Notamacropus eugenii: one gene and its partners. The protein of the gene in region 3 purifies or fractionates together with the protein of the main gene of each other region. This does not show direct contact. Links are inferred from orthologs where the notes say so. Each region holds a gene or a part of one and is shown on either strand. Other genes may lie near its edges. The genes, in order: PRPF19, CDK9, SNW1 and SNRPA1.

What was found.
Region 1: the proteins of SNW1 (region 3) and PRPF19 purify together in Homo sapiens (affinity purification with mass spectrometry; 3 studies listed by BioGRID and IntAct, counting the BioPlex papers as one, with this or other methods). This does not show direct contact. The link is inferred for Notamacropus eugenii from reciprocal best matches to the Homo sapiens genes SNW1 and PRPF19.
Region 2: the proteins of SNW1 (region 3) and CDK9 purify together in Homo sapiens (affinity purification with mass spectrometry; 4 studies listed by BioGRID and IntAct, with this or other methods). This does not show direct contact. The link is inferred for Notamacropus eugenii from reciprocal best matches to the Homo sapiens genes SNW1 and CDK9.
Region 4: the proteins of SNW1 (region 3) and SNRPA1 purify together in Homo sapiens (affinity purification with mass spectrometry; 4 studies listed by BioGRID and IntAct, counting the BioPlex papers as one, with this or other methods). This does not show direct contact. The link is inferred for Notamacropus eugenii from reciprocal best matches to the Homo sapiens genes SNW1 and SNRPA1.

The regions. Positions count from the first base shown.
Region 1 is NC_092873.1:12,527,249-12,534,888, reverse strand, and holds the start of PRPF19 (pre-mRNA-processing factor 19), read left to right. Parts: upstream 1-4,630; 5' UTR 4,631-4,884; coding exon 4,885-4,903; intron 4,904-5,324; coding exon 5,325-5,474; intron 5,475-5,571; coding exon 5,572-5,648; intron 5,649-6,025; coding exon 6,026-6,241; intron 6,242-6,690; coding exon 6,691-6,753; intron 6,754-7,002; coding exon 7,003-7,044; intron 7,045-7,166; coding exon 7,167-7,241; intron 7,242-7,640. UniProt on the Homo sapiens protein: Ubiquitin-protein ligase which is a core component of several complexes mainly involved pre-mRNA splicing and DNA repair. Required for pre-mRNA splicing as component of the spliceosome.
Region 2 is NC_092872.1:479,053,427-479,060,971, forward strand, and holds the start of CDK9 (cyclin-dependent kinase 9), read left to right. Parts: upstream 1-4,542; 5' UTR 4,543-4,996; exon of another isoform or gene 4,997-5,627; intron 5,628-5,912; 5' UTR 5,913-6,127; coding exon 6,128-6,615; intron 6,616-7,535; coding exon 7,536-7,545. UniProt on the Homo sapiens protein: Protein kinase involved in the regulation of transcription.
Region 3 is NC_092878.1:61,529,980-61,537,725, forward strand, and holds the start of SNW1 (SNW domain-containing protein 1), read right to left. Parts: upstream 3,005-7,746; 5' UTR 2,990-3,004; coding exon 2,952-2,989; intron 2,813-2,951; coding exon 2,659-2,812; intron 1-2,658. UniProt on the Homo sapiens protein: Involved in pre-mRNA splicing as component of the spliceosome. As a component of the minor spliceosome, involved in the splicing of U12-type introns in pre-mRNAs.
Region 4 is NC_092872.1:153,137,231-153,144,059, forward strand, and holds the start of SNRPA1 (U2 small nuclear ribonucleoprotein A'), read left to right. Parts: upstream 1-3,812; 5' UTR 3,813-3,959; coding exon 3,960-4,041; intron 4,042-6,245; coding exon 6,246-6,393; intron 6,394-6,829. UniProt on the Homo sapiens protein: Involved in pre-mRNA splicing as component of the spliceosome. Associated with sn-RNP U2, where it contributes to the binding of stem loop IV of U2 snRNA.

The DNA of each region.
Region 1 (7,640 bases), on a different chromosome or scaffold from region 3:
CAGTTTGACCCATCAGTACAGTTGTTTCCATGTAGTCTTACCCGTTAGACTATGAGCTCCTTGAGGGCAGGGAATGTGTTTTGCCTTTCTTCATATTCTCCTGAGCTCAGCACAGAGGCTGGAATGCAGCAGGCACTTCATAAGTGCTTATGGTTTGACTTGACTTCTCCAAGAAGCAAACTGTTAAGGAAATCTCTCCCTAGCCAGGGGTTCTTTACCTAGAGACCCCACCTATCCATCCAGGGGCCTACGGATCGATTTCTAGTGGAGTCTATGAACTTGCGTTTCTAATATTTCTATTAACTGAATTTTAGCATAATTGATTTCCTTTGTAATCCTAGGTATTTTGTTTAATTCACTTATATCATTGTAAGAAATGGTCCATGGGTTTCATCAGACACTGCCAAAAGGGCCCATAACACAAAGAAAGGCTAAGACCCCCCTACTTTAAAGAACTTGTGGCTGAAGTCTCAAACTAAGGCCTACTGAACCTGGAAATCTCAAACATGGGGTTACCTATTGGGCAAGCCCCAGGGCCAAGCAGGCACGTTCTTTCCATGCGCTTCTCTAGGAGATCTCTCAGGGACCTGGCTGCTACCGTCTCTAGAACTGGGAAAATCTCTCAGGATGCTTGGGTAAGAACATGCTCCCACATCAGTCATTTTCAGTTGGGAAGGGCAAGAGGAGAATTCTGTCCTCTGTCAGCCTCCAGAATACAAACCCTTTCAGCCAAGCACTGCTCTGTCTTCTGAACTGGGGACACTGGTCTATCAGCTCACTTTTATAAACCAGAGAGGAGAAAATCTTCCAGCAAAAGTGAAGCTTCATAAATCCCTGTGAGATAATTACCTTGGAGGCAGCCCAGGTCTCTGAAACCCAATGAATAGTTCTGTGTGTTTTCTCAGCAAGCCTAGCTGACATCCCATGGGGGAGGGGCCCTTCAGACACCACAGGGGCTCAAGATGCTTTTTGTTATGGACCTTTTGGGCCATCTAAGGAAGTCTACGAGCCCCTTTTCAGAAAGGGCCGAGCTGAAGAGGGCCTTAAACACTAGGCTTGGCATTTCTGGTTTTCTTAGGACCACAGGGAACCAATGAGTATTTTTGAGGGGTAGTCACAACTATGTCTGAGGAAGAAGATTTTGTTGGTCATTCAAGGGGTCAACAAGCATTTATTAAGTACTTACTATGTATGAGTCAGCTGGGTGGCACCATAGTGGAGAGAGTGTTGGGCCTGGAATCTGGAAGACTTGAGATACTTCTTAGCTGTATGACCCCCGGACAAGTCACTTAACCTGTCTGCCTCAGTTGCCTCATCTCTAAAATGCAGGTGATAATACTAGTATCTACCTTACAAGGCAGTTGTGAGGATCAGATGAAATAGCACACATAAAAAGCTTTACAAACCTTAAAGCTATTGTTGCCAGGCACAGTGTTGGAGGCAGCTACATGGAGGATGTGGGCCAGAAGTTACTAATTTTTCTTGGTCACTTTTTTCTTTTGGTAATAAAAATAATTTTTTCTGAATATTTTGTCTCCTTCCCTCCTGAGAACTGTCCTCCACCTCTCTCTGAGCTTCCTCTACATCCATGCTCCAGCCCAGCTGTTCTTGGTCCCGTCTCCAGGGCTGTGCTGTCAAGAGTCCACTCTTGGTGACTGTCCTTCACTGTCAACAATTCATGGAGAAAAGAGAGTTTGGGCTACAGACAATGCCAGATCTTTTCCCTCTTTCATCCCTTCCTTGTCATCCTCCCAGTTGTGTCTCTTGCTAAATTTCAGGTACCTTGTTTTCCCACTACTTTTGATGTTTCATATGGCCAGCCCGCTCCCAGTATTCCACTGCTCTTCTCCATAGGATTTTATAAACGGGATTATGGTCTAAACCAAGACTGCTCTTGGCCTCCACATTTCTCTGCTTGGCAAGGAAATTGACCATTTGTTGACAGTGGTAGCATCTCTTTGATAGGGCAATTGATTTCTATCAGTCAAAGGTCTGTAGGTAGAGAGGGCATCCTTGCTACAGATTTGAAGAAAGAGGAAATAGATTTTCCCAAACTTTAATCACATAAATGAGTAACAAATAGAGAGGAAAGGCCCACATGATGCCTATTGTTTCTTGACTTTAAAGAAGGATTTGATTTGGTTGAGCCAAATGCCACCTGTATGTCTCTCCACCAAGGAGTCTCCCACATGTCAAAATCCTTAAAAGACATAATGATATGGATAATTTTGGTTGATGAAACTTCCAGGTTGATCATCAAGCAAGACAAGGTAGGGAGATGGATTAAGGTTGCCAAAGGCATGGATCACTGTCCTGGAGAGGAGAACCAGTCAGCCATCAATCGGTCAACAAACAAGCACTTCTTATGTGCCAGGCACAGGATCCCCTAGAGATGGTGAGGTCTTCCAGGTCTGTCCTTATTTGAGGATAGCATTGGGCTAACTGGGGGAAGGAAAAGGAATAACGAACTTACCTAATATCTACCATGTTGCAGACACTGTGCTAAAAGCTGTTTACATCTCATTTGGTTCCTAGCAACAGCCTTGGGAAATAGGCGCTATTATTATCCTTATTTTACAGGAGAGGACACTGAGGCAGACAGTGGTTAAATGACTTGCCTAGATTTACACAGCTAGAAGTGTCTAATACCGGATTTAAATTCAGAGCTTCTTGACTCCAGGCCAAGCACTCTATTCATGGCACACCTGACTGCCTCAATGGAATATTCTCTTCTTAACATGCCTAATCAGTCAAGAGAGTCTGGTTTAACTAGTCATATGAAAAAAGCTCAGTGGATGAAGAATGCCTTTGTTCTTGGATTTTTTTTTTTGTATCTCCAGAATTTAGGGCAATGCTTGGTACTTGTCCAGACTGTAACATGTAGTCAAATGGATATACTTGGAGCCAGTCTACAAGTATGAATGTGTGTATATATATATATATATATATATATATATATATATATATATATATATATATATATATATATATATGTATGTATGTATATGTATGTGCATGTACATATACATAAACAGTATATGTGCCTATGCATGTCACTTACATATATATAAACACACAAATATGTATGTAAAAACCTATTCTTTTTTTCTCTCTGTACCCCATGTCTCTCTCATATACCTGTCTGTAACATTTCTCTTGGTGCATGTGATGATTGAAATCCCAAGAACAAATGGGGTCACTGGGAGAGAGTGTAGAGAGAGACCAGAAGGTTCATGCCCAGCAGGGTATAGGTATGAGACTCAAGGTAGCCTCTCAGGTCCCCTTCAGCTCTAAATCCTAGGAGTTCTAGCCCCTGATTCCAAGACTTGCCCAAGGCCATTCAGTAAGGTGTAAGAGTTGGTCTCTGGCTCCTAAATGCAAATTCCCCATCCCTCCCACTTGCTCCATGGACAGCACCAGCCCTTCTTTCTCTCCTGCTCCCTCCCCAGCTTCCTGTTGCCTCTAGGCCATCAACCGGGGCCCTTGAACCCAACTGTGCCATACAGAATTAGTGATCTCATCTTCTTTCCGCTACTCAGACGCCAGTCACTTTTCCAGCTCTGTGTCACTGCTCTCCCAGCTTCCCAGGTTAGAAACCTTGGGTCCAGCAATCAGACCCCTCTGATTGCCTTGTTCCCTGCTGCGTCCTGTATGGCCCCAGGAGACTTGCAGGACTCGAATCCTGCCCTTGATGCTGAGCTGTGATCTTGTATCCCCTTGGCAGGAGAGCAGAGACCATGGCCTCGCTTGCCTAGCCCTGGCAGCTGTGAGGGACCTTCAGGATGAATGTTCATCTTCCAAGGTTTCCTCTAGGAAGCTTTCCTGGATCCTCCCGGCTTGTCAGAGTGATTGCCCCTTGGCTGAAAGTGACCAGATGCCCCAGCCCTCACATTTCGCAGATGCAGAAAACCAGGAATGCCCAGTGAGGGGAAAGGACTTGCCCAAGGTCACACACATGGTCAGAGGATCCTGGAATCGTAGGTTTGGAGCCAATGAGTCCAACCCCTCATTTTACAGGTGGGGAAACTAAGGCACAGGCAGGTTACTGTGCCCTGCTCATGGCCCCACGACTACGAAAGCGTCTGAGGCAAGATTCAAACCCAGCTCTCTTTCTGTTCTCTCTACCGGGAGGCAGCCTGAGCTAAAAGGTTTTGCAGATACTTTGCATGTCGTATCCCCCAGGGGACTGAGTGATGCCTAATAATTCTGGTCAGGAGTGCCAATGTACAGCCTTTGCCCAGCCAAGCCAACAAGCATTTAGTAAGCAACTGTTGGGTACGTGCCAGGCACTGGGCTAAGACCCATTATGGGCAGCGTGTCGGGGCCTCAGTTTACCCATCTGTAAAATAGGAGGGAGGCGGTCTGGGTGGTGTCTAAGGGCCCGACCTGCTCCATTTCCTTAGTCCTGTATTTCACTTACACCAAGAGTACTCTGAGCTGCAAACACATATAAGAGCTTAGAGTCCGAGCTAATTTTAAGGCCAGGCCCGTGATACCAAATGTCGCGATCTTTCAACCTCCCTATAGTCCTCCTGAGAATTGGACGGGTCCTAGTCCCTCTGCATCATGGGAAATGTAGTTCCTGACTCCATGTTCTTCCGGAAGAAACCGAACTCCCTCCGGAAAATCCGGATAGGGTCCGGGCCCATTGCATGACGGGATGCACTCGTTTCCGTTATTTGCCCCAGGATCCCGCGCGCGAGGGGTTCCCCCACGTGAAACCCCGCGCTTCTGGCCCTCCTCTTTACCCCCTTTACCCCGCTCGAACCAGAACCACCCCCGGGAGAGGGGGAGAACCGGAAGTAGAGGCCGCGGCCCCGGAAGCAGAGCCCGGCGGTAAGGGAGCCCGAGCGCGGCGGCGGTGGCGGCTGCGGCGGTGGCGCCATGTCCCTCATCTGCTCCAGTGAGTAGTAGCCTCCGGGCCCCACGCCTCCTGCCAGGCCGCCCCGGGGGGAGCCGGCACCCGCGCCCACGACCCGGCGTTCCCCTGCCGGGGCGACCCTCCCGCCGCGGCCTCAGCGTCCTCATCTGTAACCGGGGGCGGGAAGGGCCGGACGCGGCGCGTCAGGCAGCGAGCATCCATTAAGCGCCGACTGTGTGCCGCGCACGGCGTCAGGGCCCTGGGAGCGGAGGCTCGGGTCTGAGGGGGTGCGGCCCCCCAACCTCCCCCCCCGCCCCGCTGCGGCCCCGCCCCCTGTGACCCCGGAGCTTCCTCTAACGCCCCAGCCCAGCCCCTCGGCCCGAGCCTCCCCCCGGTGTGGCCCTGCGGCGGGTGACTGCGGGAAGCGCCCGGCCCCGCGCCCACCAGGCCTCTTGGTTTGCAGTCTCCAACGAGGTGCCCGAGCACCCCTGCGTGTCCCCGGTGTCCAACCATGTGTACGAGCGGAGGCTCATCGAGAAGTACATCGCGGAGAACGGCACCGACCCCATCAACAACCAGCCTCTGTCCGAGGAGCAGCTCATTGACATCAAAGGTGCCCCCCGGGCCGGGGCCGCGGCGCGGGGGGCCCCGGGGGGAGGGGGACACCTGCCCCGAAGCGGGTCACCAACCTCTCTCTGTCTCTTGGACAGTGGCCCACCCCATCCGGCCCAAGCCCCCGTCCGCCACCAGCATCCCAGCCATCCTGAAAGCCTTGCAAGATGAATGGGTGAGCCAGGGAAAGCCCCCCTGCAGTGCAGCGGGCTGTCTGCTGTGCCACGGGAAGCCCGATGGGGGGCTGTGTGGAACAGACAGCCTTGGTTCTTGGGGACCCGCAGACTCGATGGCTGGGGGGGAGCATCCTAGCCCCGCGAAGCAGGGCAGCTCCTCGTAGTGTGGGCCCCAGGAACCCCCATGGCCCCCTGAAAGGAGACTCACTGAGCTCTTGGCAGAACACGGTCAGACTGCGCGAGGGGAGGGTTGTGCGAAGGAGCCGCAGTGCCAGCGAGCCACGTGTGGTACCCAAGGCTCCGCCGCTCTCCGCCTCCTCCTGGTGCGGCCTCGGCCGGCTGCTTCTGCTCTCACCCCGGCCCCTTTCTCCCCAAGGATGCGGTCATGCTCCACAGCTTCACCCTGCGCCAGCAGCTGCAGACCACCCGCCAGGAGCTGTCACATGCGCTCTACCAGCATGACGCTGCCTGCCGTGTCATTGCCCGTCTCACCAAGGAGGTCACTGCTGCCCGCGAAGCCCTGGCCACGCTGAAGCCCCAGGCTGGCCTCATCGTGCCCCAGGCCGTACCGAGCTCACAGCCCAGCGTTGTGGTGAGTGTTTCTGGCTGCCCGGCTGACCCGGAGTAGTGTGCCCCCGGCTGAGTCCTGATGGGCCTGCTGCCTATCCAGGCCTTCCTTTGGGCCTCCTCTCAGCTTTGCTCTTTTTTTTTTAAATTTTATTAATTTTACGTATTTTTCAGTGTTCTACAATCACTATCATAATAACTTAGATTTTTTTCCCCATACCTGTCCCCTACTTTCCCTAGATGGCATACAATTTTATATAGGTTCTACACGTACATTCCTATTAAATAGCTTTTTACTATAGTCATGCTATGTAGAAGAATTAAAATGAATGGGAAAAATCATATAACAAACCAAAATGTAATACAAAAGAAAATGATCTGCTGCATTCTGCAATTGAATTCCATAGTTCTTTCTCTGGTTGTGGAAGGCATTTTGCCTTAGAAGACAATTGGGAATCTCTCTTCTTTTTTTAGGGTGCTGGTGAGCCAATGGATTTGGGAGAGCTGGTTGGAATGACCCCCGAGATTATCCAGAAGGTAAGTACCTGACTCCCTGTTTTAAACTTGGCAGAGCTTCCGTGGCTTTAGCCTTTGCTTCCTTTCTCTCATCCCTGATGGCTCCCTGGATAAAGGCTTATTGGTGTGATTCCCATGAGGTTCAGGGTATCAGACTGAGCCCCAGCTCCCTTTATTGTCTCTGGGTCTGGGAAAGGAACTTGGGCCTCTGCATGAGGGAGCAATTGGGTCTCTAGCCTGTATTTTATGGTCCTTTGCTCTCATCTCCAGCTTCAAGACAAAGCAACGGTGCTCACCACGGAGCGTAAAAAGGTGAGTCCTGCATGCTGTAGATGGGCATCTAGGAGAATTTGGGCATTACTGGAGGGAGGGGGCTCAGGGGGGACCTTTGTCTGCACTCACCAGCATGCCTCCATGGCTGTTCTTTTTGTCAGAGGGGAAAGACAGTGCCAGAGGAGCTGGTGAAGCCAGAGGAGCTGAGCAAATACCGGCAGGTGGCATCCCATGTGGTGAGTGGCACACCTCAAAGCTGGACCCCAGGGCCCTGTTGTGATATTTTCTTGTGACCCCGGGCAACCAAATCTTCTCTCTGCTGCTCCCTCATCTCCAGTCTTCCAGTAGAAGGTCCTCCTGCTTTTTGCCCATCTCTCCTTTTAGGGAGATGGAATGCTGGTGTCCTGGTGGAAATATGCCAGAACCCTGGGCTCTCTGCATGGAGGCAACAAGTGATCACAGTGGAAGGGGAGGTTATCTTTGAACATTCCTTTTGTCTACTTGGTTCAGACCACCTCTCCCACTTGCTAAAGTCCCTGCCTGAGAGCAGAATGAGAAATTCCTGACTTTTAGTCAAGAAGGGTGTTTGGAGGGAGAAACGTGAGTGCAAGCTTTGAGTCGTAGGGCAGTGAAGG
Region 2 (7,545 bases), on a different chromosome or scaffold from region 3:
TTGCAGCACCATTAGCAGACATTTGAGTACCTCTGAAACATTTAAAAATTGTATATCAAGAAGGCTTCTGGGAATGCCGTCTCAGAGTACCTATCCTGGGGTGCAAGTCTAAGACCTCTAAGTCTTCTGAGCTCAGCAAGACTTCCCATCAGCAGCTTCCATTTTGGCCCTTGGTATCCAAATGGATTAAACAAATTCTTCAAAACTTCAGGGTGCTCTGCAGCTGCCCTGGTCTGGCCAAAGATGATTGTTATTGTTGTTTAGTCATTTTCAGTGGTGTCCAATTATTTGTAGCCCCTTTTGGGGGTTTTACTGGCAAAGAAACTAGGTTGGGTTTAGATTTTCTTCTCCAGCTCATTTTACAGATGTGGAAACTGAGGCAAACAGTGTTTAGTGAATTGACCAGGATCACACAGCTAGTAAATATCTGAGGCTGGATTTGAACTTCCCAACACCAGGTTCTATCTACTACAGCTCTATCCATGGTGCCACCTAGCTGCCAAAGACCAGCTCCATGCAATTCCCAGTGTCTTAGAGAACTTCTGCCTGGTTGGATCAGAAAACCTTGTTCTCGATGTAGTTCTGAGCCTCAAGAGCACCTCTTTCCTTTCCAATGTCCTCTCCTTCATTAGTGCCTTGGACAAGGCTACAAAGAGTGGTCAATTAGAGAAATGGAGAGTAGACATTGGATCACAAGATTTGGACCTAAGAGAGAATTCAGGGACTATCCATTACAATATCCATAGACCACTGTAGAAATAAGAACTGGTAACATAACCTTTGGCCCATCCCTGACCCATCCCTCCCCCCCTTCCCATTCCCAGTCCCCAACACTAGGCTCCCTAGAAAGTTCTTGAGTCTTGGGGTTGATTCAAGAGGGTAATTTCTTTCTTTGGTTTGTTAGGCCCACCTAGAGTTAGTCTAAGAAAATCTCTAAATATGCTTATTTTTGGCTACTGTCTAGGTTTCCCTAAATATGGGCAATGCGGCCCTAGTTCCAGTACAGGCACTTAAGATATAGATAGATAGAGAGATAGATAGATAAGATAGATAGATAGATGATGGATAGATATACACTTATATATTTATACATGGATATATATACACATACATATGTGTAGATACATACACACATGTATATGTGTATGTATACACAAACACACACACATATAATAGCAATATATAGCAATAATCGCTAACATTTATAGCACCTACTATGTATTATACTAAGGTATCTATTAAGGTATTAAATGAAGCACTTTATAAATATTATCTCATTTGATTGATAGATGACTAAAACCTCAGAAAATGTTAGAAAACACAAAGGCCTCCTAGGAACCTATAAACAGAGAAATACATAAAGAATTCTCATAGCCCATCAACTACCCTCAGAAGGGACCTGACCTTGGAATCACCATTAAGGTTACCCTTTAACCTTCTTGAGGGCCCATAGCCTTCCCAGAGGGGCACAGAGTCCTTCCCAGAATCATAGTGTTACTCTGTGGTTTGAAGGCAAGCACAGTTTGGGTCAACCCCCTTCCCATTGGACCTCCAAGTAGGAGAGCGCTCAGGAACTTTATGAGTGGTCTTCTTTTTTCTTCCTAGGTATGTAGGTGGTCTGATCTCTAAATTCTCAACCTTGGGAACTTTCGAACCTAGAGTTTTCTACAAGGTAAGCCCTACAGCAGGTCTTGCCCAGAAAACCTCCCTTCTCAGGCCATAAGGCTAGATTTCAGTATTACACTGCTTAGGGTACACATAACACAACGCATTTAACTCATCTATGCAGGATATTGGGATTCATAAACACTGTCCATGGACCACTCTCTTGAGTAATACGGACAAGCACATGACTGCATTTGCCACGTCCTTCTGCAGGAAATCTCTTAGTGCCCCATTTTTGGCCATCTTTTGAGTGGGGAAAGTAGTTACTCTCAGGATGTCTCAAGATTCAGACCACTTTCAGACTAGCACACACAACTCCCAAATGCCTCTGCTTCAGGATGCCTTTCCTTGTCGCTTAGGGGAAGAGTCACATGAACACAAGGCTTCTCTTCCCTCAAGGACCTGCTCTGCCCTATTCCATGCTGGTCTGTCTTCTGAACAGGGGAAGGCAAAAAGCCAAAAGACGGCAAAATCGTGTCTGCTCACACCCTAAAAAGTCCATCCTCTTGAATCCTACCTTGTATTTCCTTGTGATTTCTCACCTCTCCTCAATTTATTTGTCTTCTCTGTTTAGGCTCTTCCAAGCTCCACAGAGGAAATGGCAATGATGTTTTGTGGAAAGGATGGTAAATCTGGAGTTTTCCCTGGACCTAGGTTTGAACTCTGACTCTGTCAACCTGGAGGGGTGTGGCCTTGAGACAGTCACTCCACCTGAGCTTCTGTAAAACAAATGAAGGGGTAGTACTAAATGATTCCTAATGCCCCTTCCAGCTCTACATCTATGATCCTTCTCTATTATCTTTCTCCTACCACTTAAGAGATCTTCTCTGGATATATAGTTCTGCACCTACTGACACCTTGTCATGCGTCTTGCCAGGACAACGCTTTGACACAGCCATTCTTGGAGTATCTTTAGACACAGCAAGCACAGGGTATCTAGAGCACCCTTGCACCACTCCCTAGGGGCTTGAGTTCCACACACATTTTTGATGGAAGAAAATTCTACTCTTCTAATTCTGAGATTTTTAGCAACTTATTTTGTGACTAGTTAAGTCCCATATATTAGAGTGAAGGTAGAAAGCCTTTGGTGGACAATAGGATACAGGGTACAATTTACAGGTTTTATCTACTCCAGTCTCCACATCACCAACTATCCAATGCACATCTCCAGCTGGATATCCTGTAAGGCATCTCAAACTTGACATATCCAAAACAAAACTGTCTTTCCTCCAAAATCCTCCCCTCTTCCTTTGTTTTTGTTGAGGGCATCACTATTCTTTCCATTAGCTGGGTTCTCCTATTCAATCGTCTTTCACTCCTTGTTCTCCTTTATCCTCACTTCCCTCCTCCCCGCCCCATATGCAAGCAAATTGGTAAGTCTTGTCTAGTCCACCTCTGTGACATCTCTCAAATCCATGGCATTCTCTCCATACATTTGCCTTCATCTTCCTTTAAGCCTCTATCACTTTTCCCTTGGCTTATTGCAATAGCCTCTGAATCCCCATATCCAGCCTCCCTTCCATTCCCCATAAACTACCAAACTGATATTATTAAAACATAGGTCTGTGTCATTCCCTTCCTCAAGACATTCCAGTGATTCCTCAATGCTCCTGTTATAAAGTACAAATGCCTCTACTTACCTTTTAAAGCACAGTTTTCCTTCCAGGCTTATTAGACCTCACCCTCCTTCACACACTGAAGCATTTAGCAAAACCAATTTGCTTCCAATTTTCCATCCACAATATTTCATCTCCTGCTTCTGTGTCTGTCCAGGTGGTCCCCTATGCCTGGAATGCCCTCTCTCCTCACTCATTCTTCATAGAATCCCTAGCTCTTTTCAAAGCTCAGCTCAACTGCCACCTCCTACAGGAAGCCCACTGACCCTCCACCCCCACCCCCAGGTGCTAGTGCCCTCTACCTAGGAATGATTTTGCATCTATTTTGTATTTAAGTTTCTATTTATATGTTTTCTGCTCCCCTTAAAAGTGTAAGTTCTTGGAAGGTGAGTCTTTCATTTTTATCTGTGCCCCCACTCTATCCTTTCCCAGCGCCTAGAACATAGTAAGTACTTAATAAATGCTCCTTGAATTGAATTTCATTGCCTCTGTAGGATGTGCCAGGTTCTGCTCTCCAAGTAGGAGAGAAGCTGCCAGCAAATAAAAAGGGGGGGGGCAAAGAAACAGGAAAGTTCTAGAGGTGTTCCCCAGGCATAGTGGGGAAACCAGTCCTCTTGGAGAATTCATGGAGGGTAGCGGAGGGTTGGAGAGATGGGGTGAAGCAATATTGGAGGCAAGGTTGGAGAGGTATGGCAGAGAGCACTAGGCTAAGGACTTGGGATTTAATGCTGGAAGCAGTTGTGGAAGCCATTTTGTGTTCTCCAACAGGGAAATGACATAGTTTCAAAGAGGTTATTCTAATAGCCTTTGTAAGAACAGGACAGAGTGAGAATAGAGAGGAAGGCCAGGAAGGAGATTGTTGTAATAATCTAGGTGAAAAGCAAAGATGGCTAGGGATCAGGAAGCTTGAGTTCCTTGCTAATCTCCTTGACTCTTTCTGAAAGGCCAGGAGAGCAGAATGACAGCCCCAGATCAGGGTGCGGAGAGGGAATGCCCGAGCTGGTGGGAGTAGGAGATTAGGGAGGGAAGAAGGAATCAAAAGGCTACTTCAAAGGAGACTGGGCATGCTTTGATGACCAGACACGCCTGGGTTCCAGGCTTAGTGTCTTCCCCTACTAACTGCACGAGCATAGGCAAGCCCCTTTGCTCCTGAGACCTTTCCTCACCTGCAAAGTGGGGGTTTAGTGCATGCACCACTGACTTCACGGAGTGGTGGGAAGCTGTTTGTAGACAAACGTGAGCTATTGTTTCTTGTAATTCATGATCAGAAGCAGTAGGAAGAACAAGTGTAGACAGTTTATGGAAGGGCTCCCAGGGGAGTCACCTCGGGTGAGGGATCAAGGTCTTGGCCAGCGGAGGGCACACACCGTCCCCTGACACGGGAGACTTGGTTTACACTGTGTGGTGGAGGTGGCTGAGGTACTGAGCAGGCGTTTCGGCTCCAGCCCTCCCTCCCGGCTCTCCGGCCAGGGCCGAGTTGGTGGCTGAGCCAGCCAGTGCCCCGGAGGGAGCTTTCCCAGCAGGAGGTGCCCCCCACAGCGGCGCACACGTGGGGAAAGCGCAGGTCTCCGCGGCATTCATTGTTGCTAATGCCAACCGTCCCCAGCCTAGGTCCGGCCCGAGGAGCTCGTCCCCCCGAACGATGTGACCTGGACGGCCAAGTCTGACGGCTGAGTCCGTTTGGAAGGACAGTGAGGAGGTCAGTTTTGGACATGGTGAGTTTGCGAAGTGAACGCCCTGCCCTGGGGGAAACTGAGGCGGCCCAGGCAGAGCGTGTCTCCCTCCGCTCCCCATGCACCCAGAGAAGGAGGAGGGCGAGCTGGCCCTCGGCTCTCCCGGGTCTTTGAGGCCCGAGGGAAGAAGGAAAGAACCCCCCAACCCCCAGGGCTCTGCCCACCGGCCCCCAACAGGCCTCCCCCGCCGATCCCGCCCTCCTTCCGCTCCTCTGGTCTCGCAGCTCCCCCTGGCGGCGATAGGTTGCCATGTCAACCAAGGGAACCGGGGGGCCGGCGGGGGGAAGGCGGCTCCCGCCCCCCGGCTCGGCCCCCGCTCACTCCGCGCCTCCTCCGTGCGCCTCTCGGCCGTTCTCCCAACTCGGAGCCCGAGGGGTGGGGGGAGCGGGAAGGGAAGGGCTCCGCTTGCTCGCGGTCCCCACGACGGCTAAGACCCGGGGGCGCCCCTGGTGCCCTGGCCTAGGGTGCAGAAAGGGAAACTGAGGCACGGCCGGGCGGCAAACGGGACGCACTGAACCGAGGGCTCGATTGCAGACTCCCAGGCGTCCGGGCTCCTGGGCCCACACGTCACTCTTCGCTTTCCTCTCCCCGGCACTTACGGGGGCGAGGGGAGGTGGGGACGGGACCCCCCAGGGGGGAGGGGCCGCGGCTGGGGCTGGTGACGTACCGTGAACCCCCACTCCCCCCACCCCAGCGGGCGGGTCCGAGTCCGGGTCCGGGGCGGAGTCGCGGCAGGTGCGCCCGCGGAGTAGGCGGGCGAGAACGGGCGGCACCTCCCTACCCCCCCCTTTATAACGCGCCCCCAGCCCCTCCCCTCCAGGCTCCCCTCATCGCCCCCACCCCGTCTCGGTGTCCTCTCCTCCTCCTGTCTCAGTCTCTCCTTCCCTTCCTGCCCCAGCCCGGGCCTGGGAGAGGAGGAGGAGAGGAGCGAGCGTCCCCTGGCCCGGCTCTCGCTCCGGTTCCCGGGGGCGGCTCCCCCCGCCCTCCCCTCCCCGCCCCCAGCCCCGCGGCGGCGGCGGCGTCGGAGAAGCCGGAGCCGAGAAGGAGGAGGAGGAGACTGCGGCTCGCCCGGGATCCGCTCCGGAGCAGCTCCGCGGGCTAGCTGCCGGGCCAATGCAACGGGACGGGCCGCCCCGCGCCCCCGCCCCCATCCCGGGGCCCCGCCTTCCCGGCCCCGGAGGTGTTGGTAGTGTTGGCGGCGGCGGTGGCGGCGTTGGCGGCGGTGGCGGCTCTACAGCCCCAGCAGCCCCCGTCCTCCCGGGAACTACAAGTCCCAGGGGTCCCGGCGGCGGCCGCAGGGCGGAAGAGGCGGGGCCGGCACCTCGGGGCCGGAAGTGGCCCGGGAGGCGGAAGTGGCGGGGCCGAGGAGGGGGCTGGAGCGTGGGGGGCGCGGCGGCGGCGGCGGCGGTAGCAGCGGCGGCGGCGGCGGCGGCGGCAGCTGCAGCGGGACCCGGGCCGGGGGCAGCGGGGGCCGCCAGCGGGGCGGCGGGAGGCACCGGCGAGGCCGCCATGGCCAAGCAGTACGACACGGTGGAATGCCCCTTCTGCGACGAAGTGTCCAAGTACGAGAAGCTGGCCAAGATCGGCCAGGGCACCTTCGGGTGAGCGCCGGGACTGGCCTGGCCGGGCCAGGGAGGGGGGTACCGGGGGCCTCCCGAGGCCTCAGACCGAAAGGGACCCTCAGGGGCCGGCCGGGCCGGGGGGCCGGGGCCGGGACCAGAACGGGACAGCCCGCGGGACGCTGGGGAGGGTTAAGGGCGAGGCCTGAGCGAAGCCGCGGGTCCGAGGCCAGGAGGCCGAGGGGCGACCGCCCGCTGGGAAGGGGACCCGAGTCTGGAAAGTTAACAGCCTGACTCTAGAGCCTGGGGCTGGAGGCGGAGCCCTTGTGGCGGGGATCTCGAGGCTGAGGGGGGCTCTTGGGGCTGGGGCCTCGAGGCTGTCCGACAAAGGGAGGCTGGAGGACTTGAGGTCCGGCCCCAGGGGTGAGTCTGCCGGGAACCCTGGAGGTTAGGGCAGCCTGGCCAGAAGCGCTTTGGAGGTAAGGAGGTTCAGGTCGTAGAGAGATAAGAGGCAGGTAGGGGAAATCCCCAGAGACGGTGAAGGGGCTTCAGTTTGCGGGGGAGGAGCTGAACAAAGGAGGCGCTGGAAAGGTTGGAAAGTAAGGGACTTTCAAGATGGGAGTAGATCTGAAGGTGAATCTTTTTGCAGACAGGCTTTTGTTTGTATTTTTCAATTAAAGTAAGGGTATGGTTTGGTGGCAAGCTGAAGGGCTTGGGATTCAGACCACTAATTTATAATGTGATCTTGGGCACACATACTTTCCTCTCCCCCCCCCATTCAGTTTCCTTATCTGTATAGTGAGAGGTTTTTAGAGTAAATAACTTCCAAGCTTTTTCCAACTCTAGTATTGATGTAAGAACCTGGGATAAAGGGTAATTGCCATTTCTGATAAATTCTGGGAGGAGGGTGCTGGGCAGAAAAAGAGCCTGGGTAAACAAACGTGCCATCACTTGGCTTGCAGTGAAGTCTTC
Region 3 (7,746 bases):
CTCCAAACATTCACTCTTCTGGAAAAGTGCCCATGGCATTTTCAGATTAACAGGCCAATTTAGTTTGACTTTTCAAAACCTATTCTGCTCTACCTAGCTTTAAGAAATCTTAGCTATTAAAATAAGATTTTTAAAAATTCAACTACGCCATGAAGTTAATTATCAATTCCTTTTTAACTACATGAAATCTGAAATGCAAGAAGGCTACACTCCCTAATTTTACATGATTTTACATTTTACTTGCTGAAGAAGCCCAGTTTTAGATAAACTCAAAGACCAGGTTATTAAGATAAGAATTCACTATTCAACAAAAACTTCTGGGGAGAACAGAAAGTGGTCTGGGAGACATGAAAAGTATAAACCACAATTTAACACTAAAACCAAGATAAGCCCCAAATGGATACATGACTCAGAAAGAAATGGTGACATCATAAACAAATTAGAGGAGCAATGATTACTATTTACACTTATGAATAGGGGAAGAACTCATGACCAAACAAGGAACCAAACATGGAAAATCCTTATTATATAAAATAAGAAAAGTTTCTGTACAAACCAAACAAATGTGGCTAAAATTAGAGAAGTAGGTAACTGGGAGCTGGGGTGGGGGGGTGAATCTTTGCAGCATTTTTTTTGGTAATGGTTTCATTTCCAAGCTATATAAAGAACTAATTAAAATTTATTAGAATAAGGGCTCCAATTGATCAATGGCCAAATGATATCAATAGGCAGTTTTCAGAGGAAGAAATCAATGCTATTAACAGCCATGTGAAAAAAAGGCTCCAGATAACTAATAATTACAGAATACAAATTAAAGGAACTGTGAGGTTCCACACCCATTGCATCCATCAGACTGGCTAAATTGATAAAAAATGTAAAATGATAAAGGAGCTCAATACTAAAGGAGCTGTGAAAAAAACATATATTAATCTACTAGTCATGGAGCTGTGAACTGGTCCACTTGTTGTGCAAAGGTCATCTGGCACTATGTCTCAAAATTTATTAAGCAATACATACCCTTTGACTCAGTCATATACCACTACTGGAAGTCTATACTCCTAAGAGATCAAAGAAAGAGTAAAAGAACCCATACATACAAAAATACTTGTAACAGCTCTTTTTGTAGTGGCAAAGAACTGATAACTCCAAGAACTAGAAAGGTAATTCAGAATATGTGTATTGTCTGACAAGCAGTCAAGTTAAGTCTAAAGAGTTCCACCAGCAGACTGGTCACAAGATATTCTAAACAGAAATTCATCAGCTTTCAAAGACTGAATACTGAGTCAAAGAAACGAGGCAATGGGCACAATATGGGGAGTATTCACACCAACAATTCAACAATCATATATTAAGTGCCTACTATGTTGAAAAAATTATGCTAAGACTAGTGATACAAAGACAAAATTAAAAACAATGTTGCCTTCAAGGGGCTTATTCCACTGGAAGGAGACAATTTTTATTTTTTATTTTTTTTATTTTTTTTTTTTAATTTTTTTATTTTTTTAATGTTTAACAATCACTGCCATACAATTGCGATTTTATCCCTCCCCACCCACCCCCCACTACCTCCCTCCCTCCCCACGACTGCATACAATTCTGTATAGATTCTACATATACTTTCCTATTGAGTATATTTTCACTATAGTCATGCTATGTAGTCAGACTAAGATAAATGAAAGAATCCGTATAACAAATCAGAACATGATACACAAACAGATACACATACACAAACATGATCTGCTACATTATGTGAGTGACTTCCATATTTCTCTCTCTGAGTGTGGAAGGCATTTTGCCTTGAGGTCCACCATTGGGATTTTTTTTTTTTTTTCGGAAGTTCTTGTGTTATTACAAAAATCTAAGTCTACCAGAAAAAGCTCTCACACACTGTGGTTGTTGCTGTGCATAAAGTTCTCCTGGTTCTGCTCCTTTCACTCAGCATCAGGTCATATGGAGACAATTTTTAAAAACAACATGTCAAAGATTCCTGAATAAGAATTAATGTTTACATGTAACACTATAAGATTTACATGGTGTTCTCCACATAATCTATAATCTGTAAACATTATCACCCCCCATTTTACAGATGAGAGAATTAAGCTCAGACCTGCTTTCCACTGATGGACAATGCCCTTTGTACCTCAATTTCCTTATTTTTGCAATGAGGGGGTTGGACTAGATTGGCTCCAATGTCCTGTCTCTCTCCAATATCTTATAAACTCTAACTCCAGTTTTTCCCTAACACTTGCAGTATCTTCCAGAGCTACTTCTCTACCCTACCAAAACTATAAAGATTTTTTTGCACGTACAAAGGATTTTGGACCTGTGACGAAATTAATTCCTGCCATTACTCAAGCTCATACCTTTTGTGAGAAGGGTTAGGGACTCCTATTTCCCTAAGAATTGGTTGTTTGGTTTGTTTTCTCTATCTTTTAAGCATCCTACTTCTTGACTATTTCCCTATTCATCAGCACTTTTCAAAGGGTAAAACACTATTAGTTTACTAATAATAATACTAATAATTAGTTTACTTTAGACAACTATATTTCAAAACAGTACTGAAGTAGATGCTAGAAAACTCCATGGTTTAGACTTACTCATTAATTCTACAGCAACCCTGATCAATTTAATAAATCCAAAATGAAGGCTAATATTTACCTCTAACAAACGAGGTATCCAACCTTTCCGATAACCATAAGGAGGAGGTTCTCTTCTTGATGAGACCAGTGCAGTCTGCCTTGATCTCTGTGATCTTGCCCTTTCCTCAGCCTCAAGTTGGTCCTGAGACAGCTGAGTTGGAGCAGGTAAAAAGCTATAAAAAAGGATAAGGAGAAAAGTTAGAATACAAACAAAAACACTTTATGTCATTCAAATCAATAATGAGAATAAAATTTTTCTGGCTAATTTCATGAAAAGGGAGAATCTCTACTGATCTGTAGAAATGCCAATACCAGTCATTTTGTATTCCAGGTAATAATGAAGTACTCATTCATGGGATCAAGAATATCTGACTAAAGGCAAATGAGATGAGTTCTACGACCAGGACTGTCTCTGTATACCTCACAATAGCTATTATACTATGTTTTTCAATCTCTTGTAACCTAAGAGTAAATCCTCAGTCATTCAGAGAATGATTGCCCAGAATACTGATTTTCTTTTTGTTCCCTTTTAATCATTACAGTACCAATATTGAAGGACAAGTAGAAACAGGGAAGAGAAGTCGAAACCTCAAAGAAAGAAAAGGATAGGGAATAGGCATGTAGCAGTTAAGAGAAAAAAAAAAAAGTACATTTAAGAATCCTTTTTTTATCCTGTTCAATTCAAGAATATATATAATCTTAAGTAACAACAAAAAGGTTGATTTTCTGAAAAAAGCTATTAACGTTTAAGAAACTGAAGTAGTGCCAACTTGAATTGTTTTTGACTATACTTCCAGTGTATTGATCATAATAAATGTTAAGTTATTAAGCAAAAAGATCCAGTGTATTTATACTGAAAATGAATTATAGCACATGGAACAAAACCTTTGACATTCACTGTACAAAAGGCTTAATGAGTCCCGCAAAATACTGGTCAACCAAGAATAAAAAGAAAAGTCAATCACTGCCTTAAACATACTGTTAGCATTAGAAAAGCAATTCTATCTTTGACAGAAAGAGTCCAACTCTTGTTTCTGCATGCTAATATAGTATGGATCAAAAGAACTTAGGTCAGACTTCCCCCAAAAATTTCTACTGGAACTATCCACAAGAAGTCCTATGGGCATGCTGTTTAACCCTTTGGAAAATTCAATTGAACAGAGTCAAGAAGTAAAATGCTTAAAAGATAGAGGAAAACCAATTCCTAGGGGAACAGTTTCAATTTTAAACAGTTTAAGATTTCCACTTTGCAGGCTTCATAAAGTTAGCAAAAACGAATTCAATGAAAACATAAGAACCACCGGCCTACCTTAAAATTAAGCCAATACTGATATTGTTACTACTGGGCATCTCCCTTGTATGAATATGTACATAAATGTATACATATGGGTGCCTATGTGTGTTTATACACACACCACCCTTTCCACAATATCTAGCTCAGGTCCTACTTCCTCAGTGAAGCCTTTCCTTACCTATCTTCTAACTCCTTTGGTACTTCTCCCTCCCTGCCCACAAAAGTCAGCATTCTATTACACTTCAATTGCTTTGTATGCCTACATTTGGTCAAGAGTAAAAGAGGCTTGTAAACCAGAGTTCGCCTCTTCAATTGCCCTTTCTACAGACCACACCATGTAACTCGTTTTTTTCCCAAGCTTCACTGTTATGGTCCGTTCGGAATGATGAGTTAAGTAGGAACAGCAGGAAAGGGGCAGGAGCTGGGGATACCGATGACGCTAGATTAGGGGCCTCCTTGGTTTCTTTGGTATTCTCAGGGCTTGGCGGAGTACCTGGAACACAATAAACCTTTATGGCTTGACTTTCCGCAGTCTCTCCTCGAGTTTCCTCTTCTCTTGCCGGTGTGTGTTTTTAAGGAAAATTGTTTCCGCTTACTAAGCACCTGTTTCAGGAATTAGTCTCAGCTACGTAATTTTTTTTTTTTTTGCTCACTACGTACTAACGATCATTCGCTGGCAATCGGGGGCCGCCTTCACACGCAGCTCCCACCACATCGGGAAGCGGCAGGACTCAGATCTGCCTGGGGGGGGTAGTTCTCTTCCACTGGACTGGCCATGAGTCCCCTCACCCCCAATTCAGAGCTCGCCAGGCGGAGGCACTCTTCTGTTTTCCGAGAAGGTCCAACCGATAAGGGAGCAGACAGCGGCTGGAAGCCCGCCTCAGCTTCCAGCTCCTTCCCACCACCGGTAACCACCGTCCCCTTCCTGGTCCCCACATGCCAGCCCCGATTCCCCACCTCCACCTCCCTCCAGATTCCCCACCTCCACCTCCCTCCACAGGAGGGAAGGCCTCTTCACTCCCTCGCCCTCGGAAACGAGAACAACTAAGGCAATCCTCGAACGCGCAGGGGCAGGGAAGCGTGAGCCACGCCGATGTCGGCAGCCACGACTAGGGGCGGCCAGCGCTCGGGGTAGGTGTTCAGGAAAGGCCCCGGCTTCCGGGGAGGCCTGGTCGACTCGGCCGCTAACGGGAAGTCCTGGCCCACAGCTTTACCCCAAAGCATCGCTACTCCCCTGACCGGCACCCTCCCAGAGTGTGGAAGCCGAGGAATAAAAGGCAAAAGCGAACTGAATCTCTTCCGTAACGCAGACCCCCTCCTCCCCCACAGACCTCAAAACCCACCTGGTAAGCGCCATCTTCTTCCGCTGCTTTCAGCGCTCGCGGCAGCTCAGCTGGGAGGGGTTTGCTAGGCAACTGAAAGGGTTAGGGGGAAGGCGGAGAAGAAAAGGCGAGAGCACTGCGCACGCACCTTTAACGAAAGGCCTCTTGGGATTTGTAGTACTTTGAGCGAAGGGCGGGGAGGGGGCGGGGCGAAACCGTGGGCGAATAGAGCAAGGGCGGATTCAGCTCTCTTTAACGCTTCAATTGAACGTACGCCATGAGGTCACCCACATTGTGTGACGTTCAAGGCCTGCCCTAAGCCAAATTGTGAAGTCTCGCTATTTGGTGTGGGATACTTTTTCAGAGCAGTTTAACAAGGTCTTTGGTCTAAGGAACCTGTCAGCTAATGGAATTGATGTTTTTAGAGGAACCTAGGGGACTCATTGGGCAAAACGTTGGACCTGGAGTCAAGAGAGATCAGAGTTCAAAGTCGTTATCTGACGCTTACTAGTTGTGTGACCTTGGACAAGTCAATGAACTTTCTACCTCAATTTCCTCATCTGTAAACCGGGGGTAATAATAGCACCTACATTTCAGGGTTATTGTAAGGATGAGATCATCTTTATGATACAAACCATAAAGAGCTATAAAAATGCTAGCTGCTTTTATACTTTTTGGAATCAAAGGAATACTTATCTCTAATAATACAATTGAAGGCGCTGCTGCAGGACTTGGGGGAAATATTTTAATACTGGAGGAACTGTTGGATGCCCTTCAAAGAACAACAAATACTTCAGTACCGAGGACAGCACCACATAGTAAGACAGTAGATCCACAAGCATTTTATTCAGTACCTACTGTGGCAGAAGCTGCTCATTTCGGGGGTAAACAAAGACAGAAAAGAAACAGTCCCCTGCTCTCAAGGATCTCACGGTCTAATGTGGGCCCTAATGAACTTTTGTTCTTAGTGACAACTGATGATAAGGAGATGAAACAAATTGTGGTAACAATGAAGAGTTAAGTTCTGGTTTTCCTACCATAATAGTAATAACAATAACTAATACTGTAAATGAGAGCTCACAACAGCAAGGGATCAACATGGGCTAGAGTTTTCAGAAAAGGCTTATTAATATCAATAGGTTCTAAAGACACAAATCAACAGTATACGGTGTTTACTAGGTGCTAAGTACTGTACTAAGTGCTAAGCTAAGCTAAATTAAATAGTCCAAGTCTTTAAAGAGCATACATTATACTAGAGGAAAATAGTATATGCACAGATTAATCAAAATAAAGTTATTTATTCTATGGGATAGGGACACCAGCAAGGACCTTGTGTAGGGCAGGACTTCTTCAACTTTTTCTACTCCTGATCCCTTTGCACATGAGAAATTTTTATGCAACTCTGAGCATGTAGGTATATAAAATAGGGATACAAATAAAACATTGATTAATAATAAATCATAAAGAAATTTATTTTATAACAATTCTTTGGTATACATATAATTTTACCATTTACTAAAATGAAAAGCAAATTTACATACTAATGAGATGGATGTGCCTGTTTATTTTTACATAAAGAATTAAATCTTGGCAGAATATTTGATACTGTTGGACATAGAACATCTTCAGTGTTTTTCAGAGATGTTTGATATTTTGATTTTATAATTGTCAATGCTGAGAACACCACTTCACATAAATACATAGTACAAAATGGCAGAAGTATGTTTAGGGCCATTCAGAAATTGTTGGAAATTCTGTCCTTATCCTAAGCCAAAATTCACTTAATGATTTGGTACGTATGGTAAAAACAAAACAAAACAACAACTTCAGTTCATAACATACAATAGTCTCCAATATGAGCTGAGTTGTTCTTGGCGATATTCGTTGGCATTGTGTGGAGTGATGGTATGCACATGAGCAGTGCAAAGTATGCATATTGTGTGTTCAGAACCAAGGCAGCAGGGAAGTAGTGTAATGCAACATGGACAAGCGCTGGCAGAAACGCCTCACATTCATTTGATTTTGAGTTAGTTTTGGGTCATTGTGCATTCAGAAACCTTTTACTTTTGCCAGATATTTTGTGACCCCCACATTTAGCCACATAACCCCATATGGAGTCACAATTTAAAAAGCTCTGTTATACGGGATGGCACTTGAGCTGAGACTCAGAGAAAGCCAAACATTCTAAGAGAGGCAAATGACAAGGGACTATATTCTAGTCATGGATGCCATCTTACATAAAGGCACAAAAGCAAAAGATACCTCATATATTATCTCATTTGATCCTCACAACAACCCTGTGAAGTAGGTGCTTATTTTTGCCCACATATTTTTCAGATGAGGAAATTCAGGTTGAGTATGGGAAATGGCTGAAGTGTTGGAGTTTGGCCAGGATGTTAAGTTTGCAAGAGAGAGTAATGTGAAATCAATCTGGATATACAGGCTGAAGGCAGACTGTAAAAGATTTTAAATGCCAAACAGAAGCATTTGA
Region 4 (6,829 bases), on a different chromosome or scaffold from region 3:
TCATGAGAATAACTGATGAGATTGTATCAGGAAGGACTCTAGCTTACACAGGAGGGCCTGCTGTATAGGTTCTTAGATCTGCTTTTCTAAAAGGAAACCAATTTTGAAGGGTCAACAATGTACTTTAATGAAGCACATATATCTATCATTCACTCAGTACAGGGGGAAAAGTCAAAACCCTGAACTTCAGAAAAAATGCAAACAAAGAAATAAAGACCAACAGACAGGGTTTCCAACTGTCTGACCATTTCATACATACATAGTTACACACACACACACACACACACACACACACACACACACACACACTCTTCAGAGCCAGAGGGCATCACAACCTTTGAGAACCAGTGCCCCATTAGAAATTAACAAAAGGTATGAGCCTTCCTACAAAACAAATCTCCTCTAATCAAACTTCCCTTAATGGGCAGGCCCATTAATGGGTGAGGAAGATCTTTAATTTTCATTAACATAATTAACATTGCAGAGATTTAGAAAAAAAAATTTGGATCTATCTGGGGGCTTCTTGGTCATACCATTATATATGGACTCAATACTGTTGTACATCCTGGAATTTGTATAGCACTGAGTCATAATCTGATGTGTCAAAGAGTTTTGGCGCAGGATAAAGGATATAAGTATGTAGTGTATTTGCACTAAGATTACTGAGACAGGAGTGGGGAATATTTTCCACATTGGAGTTTGAGGCTGCTGCTTTGAACTGAAGAGACACAAAACAAGGGATTACAGAAGCAAGAAATTAAAGCCTCAAACTGTAATTAAACTATAATTAAATTAGAAATTAAGGTCTTGGAGCTATAACATAACCTAATGGTAAGAAACCAAAGCTGAAACCATAGATTAAGCTTGATTGCTATGTGCTAGCAAGAGGTAAAAATAGTGGTTGAAATGAACCAAATGCTGTTCTAAGAATGTAACAAGAAAACTAAAACTATCTTTGGAGATTTTGTAAGTGTTAAGATCTCATGAGTTCTTGAGATTATATGCTATGAGCAGCTTGGATGTTTGAGTTGCTTTTCTACCTCCTTGAGATGAACATTCTGTCCTCATTTGTAACTCTGACGGTTAACGCTAAGGTACATGCTTAAATTGTTCTTGAAAATATATTAAAAGACATTCCTTAATAAAAATATGCCAAAGAATATGAACAGGCAATTTTCAAAGGAAGAAATCCAAGCTCTGAATAACCTCGTGGAAAAAGTACCCTGAATCATTAATAAATAAAGAAATGCAAATTAAAGTAGCTCTGGGGTTCTGTTTCATATCCATTGGACTGAAAAAGAATGACCAAAGAGGAAAAATGACAGATATTGGATGAGCTATGGGAAAATAGGCACATCGCTTCATTGTTGGAGCTGTGAATTGATCCAGCTATTTTGGAAAACAATATATGGGTTAGGATCCAAAAGTTACTAAACAGTGCATATCCCTTAACCCAACTATATCGCTATCAGGCCTATCCTCTGAAAGAAATCAAAGAAAGAAGGACATATATGTACAAAAATATTTATTGCAATACTTTTCATAGTAGCTGAAATTTGATAGCTAAAGGGGTATATACTTATTGGGGAATGGCTAAAAAATATTATGGTATATGTGAATAATGGAATATTATTGTGTCATAAGAAAAAATCAAAATAGACTTCTGGGTAGAATTCTATGAATTTATGTCAAAGTGAGCAGATCTTTAACAGCTTGTGCAATTACAACAACCTTGCAGAGAAAAACAACTTTGAAAGAATTTAAATTTCTGACAGTGGAACAATAAACCATGATTCCAGAGGACTGAAGATGAAATACTTCCTCCACAGAGGTTAATAATGCAGAGATGACCAATGTGGAAATCTGTTTTGCTGGACTATGCCTGTTCAAGTTGTGGGGCTTTTTTTAGTTGTTGTTCAGTGAGGGGTAGAATATTGAGAGGGATAAATTAGAAATGCATGTAAATTTTTTTTAAAAAAGAAGATATATGAAAGCCTCCAGATTATGCCTGATACTTGAGTCACCATGTCAATATAGAACACTCTCCTTGCAACTGCATTATTTAACAAATCTTTGATTCTAATTGATATAACTATAAGCAATGAAGACATTTTTCCCCCTTAACATACTCTATGATTTAGCAGATGATATAAATGAAATGTTGTGGCACCCTTCAAATCCATCACCTAAAGGCCACAATTTTGGTAAGAAATATCTCTCAGCTAGCAAGTTGATCTTTGGACTGTGGGCTTTTCAATTTTGGAGGAATCTGTCAAAACCTCTATGCTACAATGAGTCATTTCATGTATTTTTTCAAAGGTTTCAGAGCTATTGAAGAGGCTCAATATTTACTATATCATATAGCACAAAACCATAGATTTTAGAACAGGAATAATTCAACTATAGTGCTCTTTTTTTTCTGATACTGAAATGGACAGACCGAGACAAGCACAGGCAAGAGTCAATTGAGAATTTGGGAGCGTCTTTATTAGCCGGCGGCTGTCCTCAGAAGAGGCAGCCCCGAACAAAGGTGTGTGTGCCTTTTAAGCATCTTAGCACTTCCCAGTACAGTCTTGCAGTTCCAGTAGCAAACATTTTTCACAGAACAGTTTTGACAGGGGTTCCTAGGTGCTGCTAGGCAAGGTGGCACAACAGAGAGGGGGGCTCAAGCAGCTGCCAGGCAAAGGGGTACAACAGAGATGGGGGCCCAGGCAGCTGCCAGGCAAAGGGGTACAAAGAGAGGGGCTGCTAGGCGAAGGGGCACAACAGAAAGTGGCTACTAGGCCCAACCCTGCCTAGAAACTCAACAGACATTTCTCAACCCAGGGGCTACAATTCTAATTATTATGGTCTAAGTATGGGTTATTAGGTATTATCCATTAAAAAAGGAATAGAAATAATATTCCTAGCATATTCACTAGGAGGGAAGTCTGCATAGTTACATTTCTAGAGATTGCTTTCATAGATTTATAACTTGCTACTTTATTTCCTTTTTGATACATTGTTTCTCTATACAACACTTTTCACAACCCTCAAATAAATGTCTCTTCAAAGGGTATACCACCCCCCCACCCTCCACCCCCATCCCCGTCCCCACAACCATCAAAGGCTGGTTTCAATATTCAAAAAGAATGTGTGTTCTAACTTAGTACGATACATTGTTCTGTTGCTTATATTTGACCACCAGTTTTGCTACCTCTTGATGTTATCTGTATTTACCTTGTTGCTCTATACTGTTCTTTTAATTCGGCTTTCTTAATTCTGCTTCACTACTTTCTACAAATCTTCCCATGGAGTTTTCATATTCATCATTCCTTATGATGTAATTTATCCCATCATATTTATATATCAATTCATTCTGTCATTCCCAGTCGCTGGCGCATTATTTAAAAAAAGTTTCTATGAAGATCTTTTTGTACATGTGAGTCTTTTCTTGCTATAAATAAATTAATGGAAGTAGCAGAATCTTTTCTTGCCCAAATGCTTTTCCATAACCAGAAGCATCAAATGAGGTAACACAAGCAGAAAAAAAAAAGCGCTTTGCAAAACTTAAAGCTCTCTATAAATGCTAGCTACTAGCTAGCTACTGAATGGATGCGTCGGAAACACGCTGTCCTGCGTTCCTTCACCCTACAAAGCACACATTTAGCCCTATTTTTGCAAAGGACCCTAAACGAGCCTGTAAGAGACATAAAAGGTGGCTCCACGAGAGCAACGCAAGGGACTTTAAAACAGTGAGTGCCGGGAGCTCGATTGGGACTTTGGTCGAAGTTCTGGCGGAAGACAGGCAGTAGTTCCGATCTCCGTGATTCGCGAATTGATGGCTTTGGCCTGAACACGCTGCGGCCTCCCGAGGCCCGTGATTGGTTCTGTCCGACCGCGGGGGCGGTGCGCGGAGGCTGCTGGGTATTCTTTGGGGGCCGGAAGGAGCGGAGTCTGCGGTGCCTTGTGGCGACAAGATGGTGAAGCTCACGGCGGAGCTCATCGAGCAGGCGGCCCAGTACACCAACGCCGTGCGGGACCGTGAGCTGGACCTGAGAGGTAAGATCAGGGCGCTGGGAGGAGCGACGGAGAGGACCGCGGCCCCCGCGCTGGGCCTCGGGCCGGGGTCATGGAGCGCTGGGTGGCCTGCGCGCGCTTAGCGGGCCCGCGGGCGGCCTTTTCCGAAGCTGTAGAACAGCAGCTCGCCGCGCTGTGCGGTTCAACCTCCGCTCCGAACACAGAGGAGGAAACTGAGGCCCGCCCGGGGAAGGGAGAGGGCGTGCTCGAGGGCCTGCCCACCGGGCTCCCGAGACCCCCGCGAACAGAGTGGAGGAAATTGGAGTTTCTTGGTGCGCGCGGAAGAGGGTAACTCTTTAGAGAGCGTGACAGGCCCGGTCTGTCACTTGTTACTCTGTAGCGACCGCTCCCTTATTGTCTCATATTATCCGCTATTCTGTAGCACCCTCGCTCCTTTGTTTACCGCCCAGTGAGTCTCACTTCATTTTGTGACATTCCCCGCCACCACGGACCCCTCCAACGGTTCCATTTTTTGGACCACTCCCTGCTTTCACACGTACTCCGGTGTAGTGACGCTCACGGTGTATGTAGTCCGTGATGTTCAGAAGCTGTTCATTCTGACCTTTCTCTCTTTTATTACCCTTCGTAGTCTTATCTGCTTAATTGAAAAATTGAAAAGGCAGGCTTCACTTTAGTTCTGATGTTTATGAGCTAATTTGCACGTAGAGATCACATTCTGTCTTAGTTGGGAACTGTACTGTATCTTACTTGAATTAAGCTAACCTCCAACTGAAACTTACTGAACCAGGTACAGTGAACTAAGGAGAAATACCACAGTAACATGGACTTTTGAGGGCCACGCAAGTGGACAGGCAGATGTGAAGAATTAGATTCTGTGTGTGAAAAGAGCTTTAAATTGTTTTGATTTTTTTTTTAAGCTAGGTTTGAGTCCAGGTTTCATAGCTTGCTACCTGTATAATGCTGATCACTTCATCTCTCTGGACCTCGGTTTCCTTATTGGTTAAATGAAAGGGTTGGACTAGATTACTTTAAACAGAAGGAATTTTCAGGTCAAAATGAAATACTGTCTTGGTGTGACAAGGCATGAGTTAAAATATGAGAGATTTCATGGAAGGAAGGCATCACTTTGGAACATGGTTTTCACACTAGGATGGGGAGGTTGACCTTTCATCCTTTTTCTGTGAAATCCCAATTCCTTAAACTTCATAAGTTTTATATTGCACCCATGAGCAGTTATTTTAAAAAATTTTATATTATTAAATTAAATGTAGATAGAGGTGCACTTCAAGTTTCACCTTTTCTAAGAAAACTCTTTTGTCTTTGACCATGTTTATTGTCATATATGTTTATATTTAATTTAATGATACTTTTTCGTACACTTCCCAGCAAACACACAATCACCCCCAGCAAAGTATGTTCCCTAAAACTAGATTAACAGGACAGAGAATTGTGTGTTTTAACTTAGTTGGCATTTGTAGCAACTTCTAGTCATCGTATTTGACCAAATTTTGCTGCCTTTTAATGTTTGTGGGCATTGACATATCTGTGTATGTATGCATGTGTATATATGTTTATATACACACATATATGCATGTGTCTACTGTCTTCACTATCACCTGTAATAAATAATTTATTTCTCTGAAATCTTTGTATCTGAAATCACCTTATTTGTTAATTTCTTATAGCACAGATTAACACACTATAAATTTTTCGTCCATTCCCCAGTTGTTGGGACACATATTAGCTTCATTTTTTTGTTGTCACAATTTATGCTATGGATAGTTTTGTACATTTGAGGCTTTCTTGTATCTTTTATATCCAGTCCCAACTTCAGAATCTCTTGTTAAGAGTATGCACAATTCGGTAACTTTTGCATAATTCCAAATTGTTTTCTAGAATGGTTGAACCTGTTCATAATTCCACCAGCAGTAATTTAACATTATTGCCTTGTGTTGTTATTTAAATGCTCCATATGTGTATCATCTCTCAAAATAGGTTTTAAGTTCCAATATGGGTAGAAACTATACCTTTCCTTTGTGTCATCCTCAAAACTTTAATAAGTACTGGTTACTTAACTGTTTGTTGAATGAAGAATTGCTGGTGCTCTCATGGTGTAGATTCTAAAATGGATAACAATACCTGATTTAATTTACTGACACTGTTAATTTTAGCTATGGTGTACCTTGGCTACCTCAGTGTAATCTAATATCTTTACTGTTTTCCAGGATACAAGATTCCTGTAATTGAAAACTTGGGGGCTACCTTGGATCAGTTTGATGCTATTGATTTTTCTGATAATGAAATCAGAAAGTTGGATGGTTTTCCCTTGTTGAAAAGACTGAAAACATTATTGGTGAATAATAATAGAATATGGTAAGTGTTAGTTTTTCCCCTGAGTTAGCTGTTAGCTTAAAGCATGGTAAGCAGCTGCAGGTATGCTGAAATTTTTTAAAGCTGAAAAGTTTTATTCTTTCACAGAAATTCAAATAATTCATGGCAGTCTTTAATCCTAGTTTCTGTTTCATGTATCTAAAATTCACGTTGCAAAGGATCATCCACATAAGGAAATTAGCTACTGACAAAAGTTTAGTTTAATAATTTTTATTGCCCTCTTTTGATGTTTATTGCTTGGTATTTTTCTGCATATATGCAGTTTTTAATTATGAAATGAGAGTAAGTAAAAGGTCTGTGCAAGTATAATTTACTAACTTTTTCTGCCTCACCTGATTGACACTTTGTGTCTGCCTCTCCTACCAGATTTTATCTTGGATTCATGGTTCAGTCTGCTGTCTTGAAACAACATCGTAGC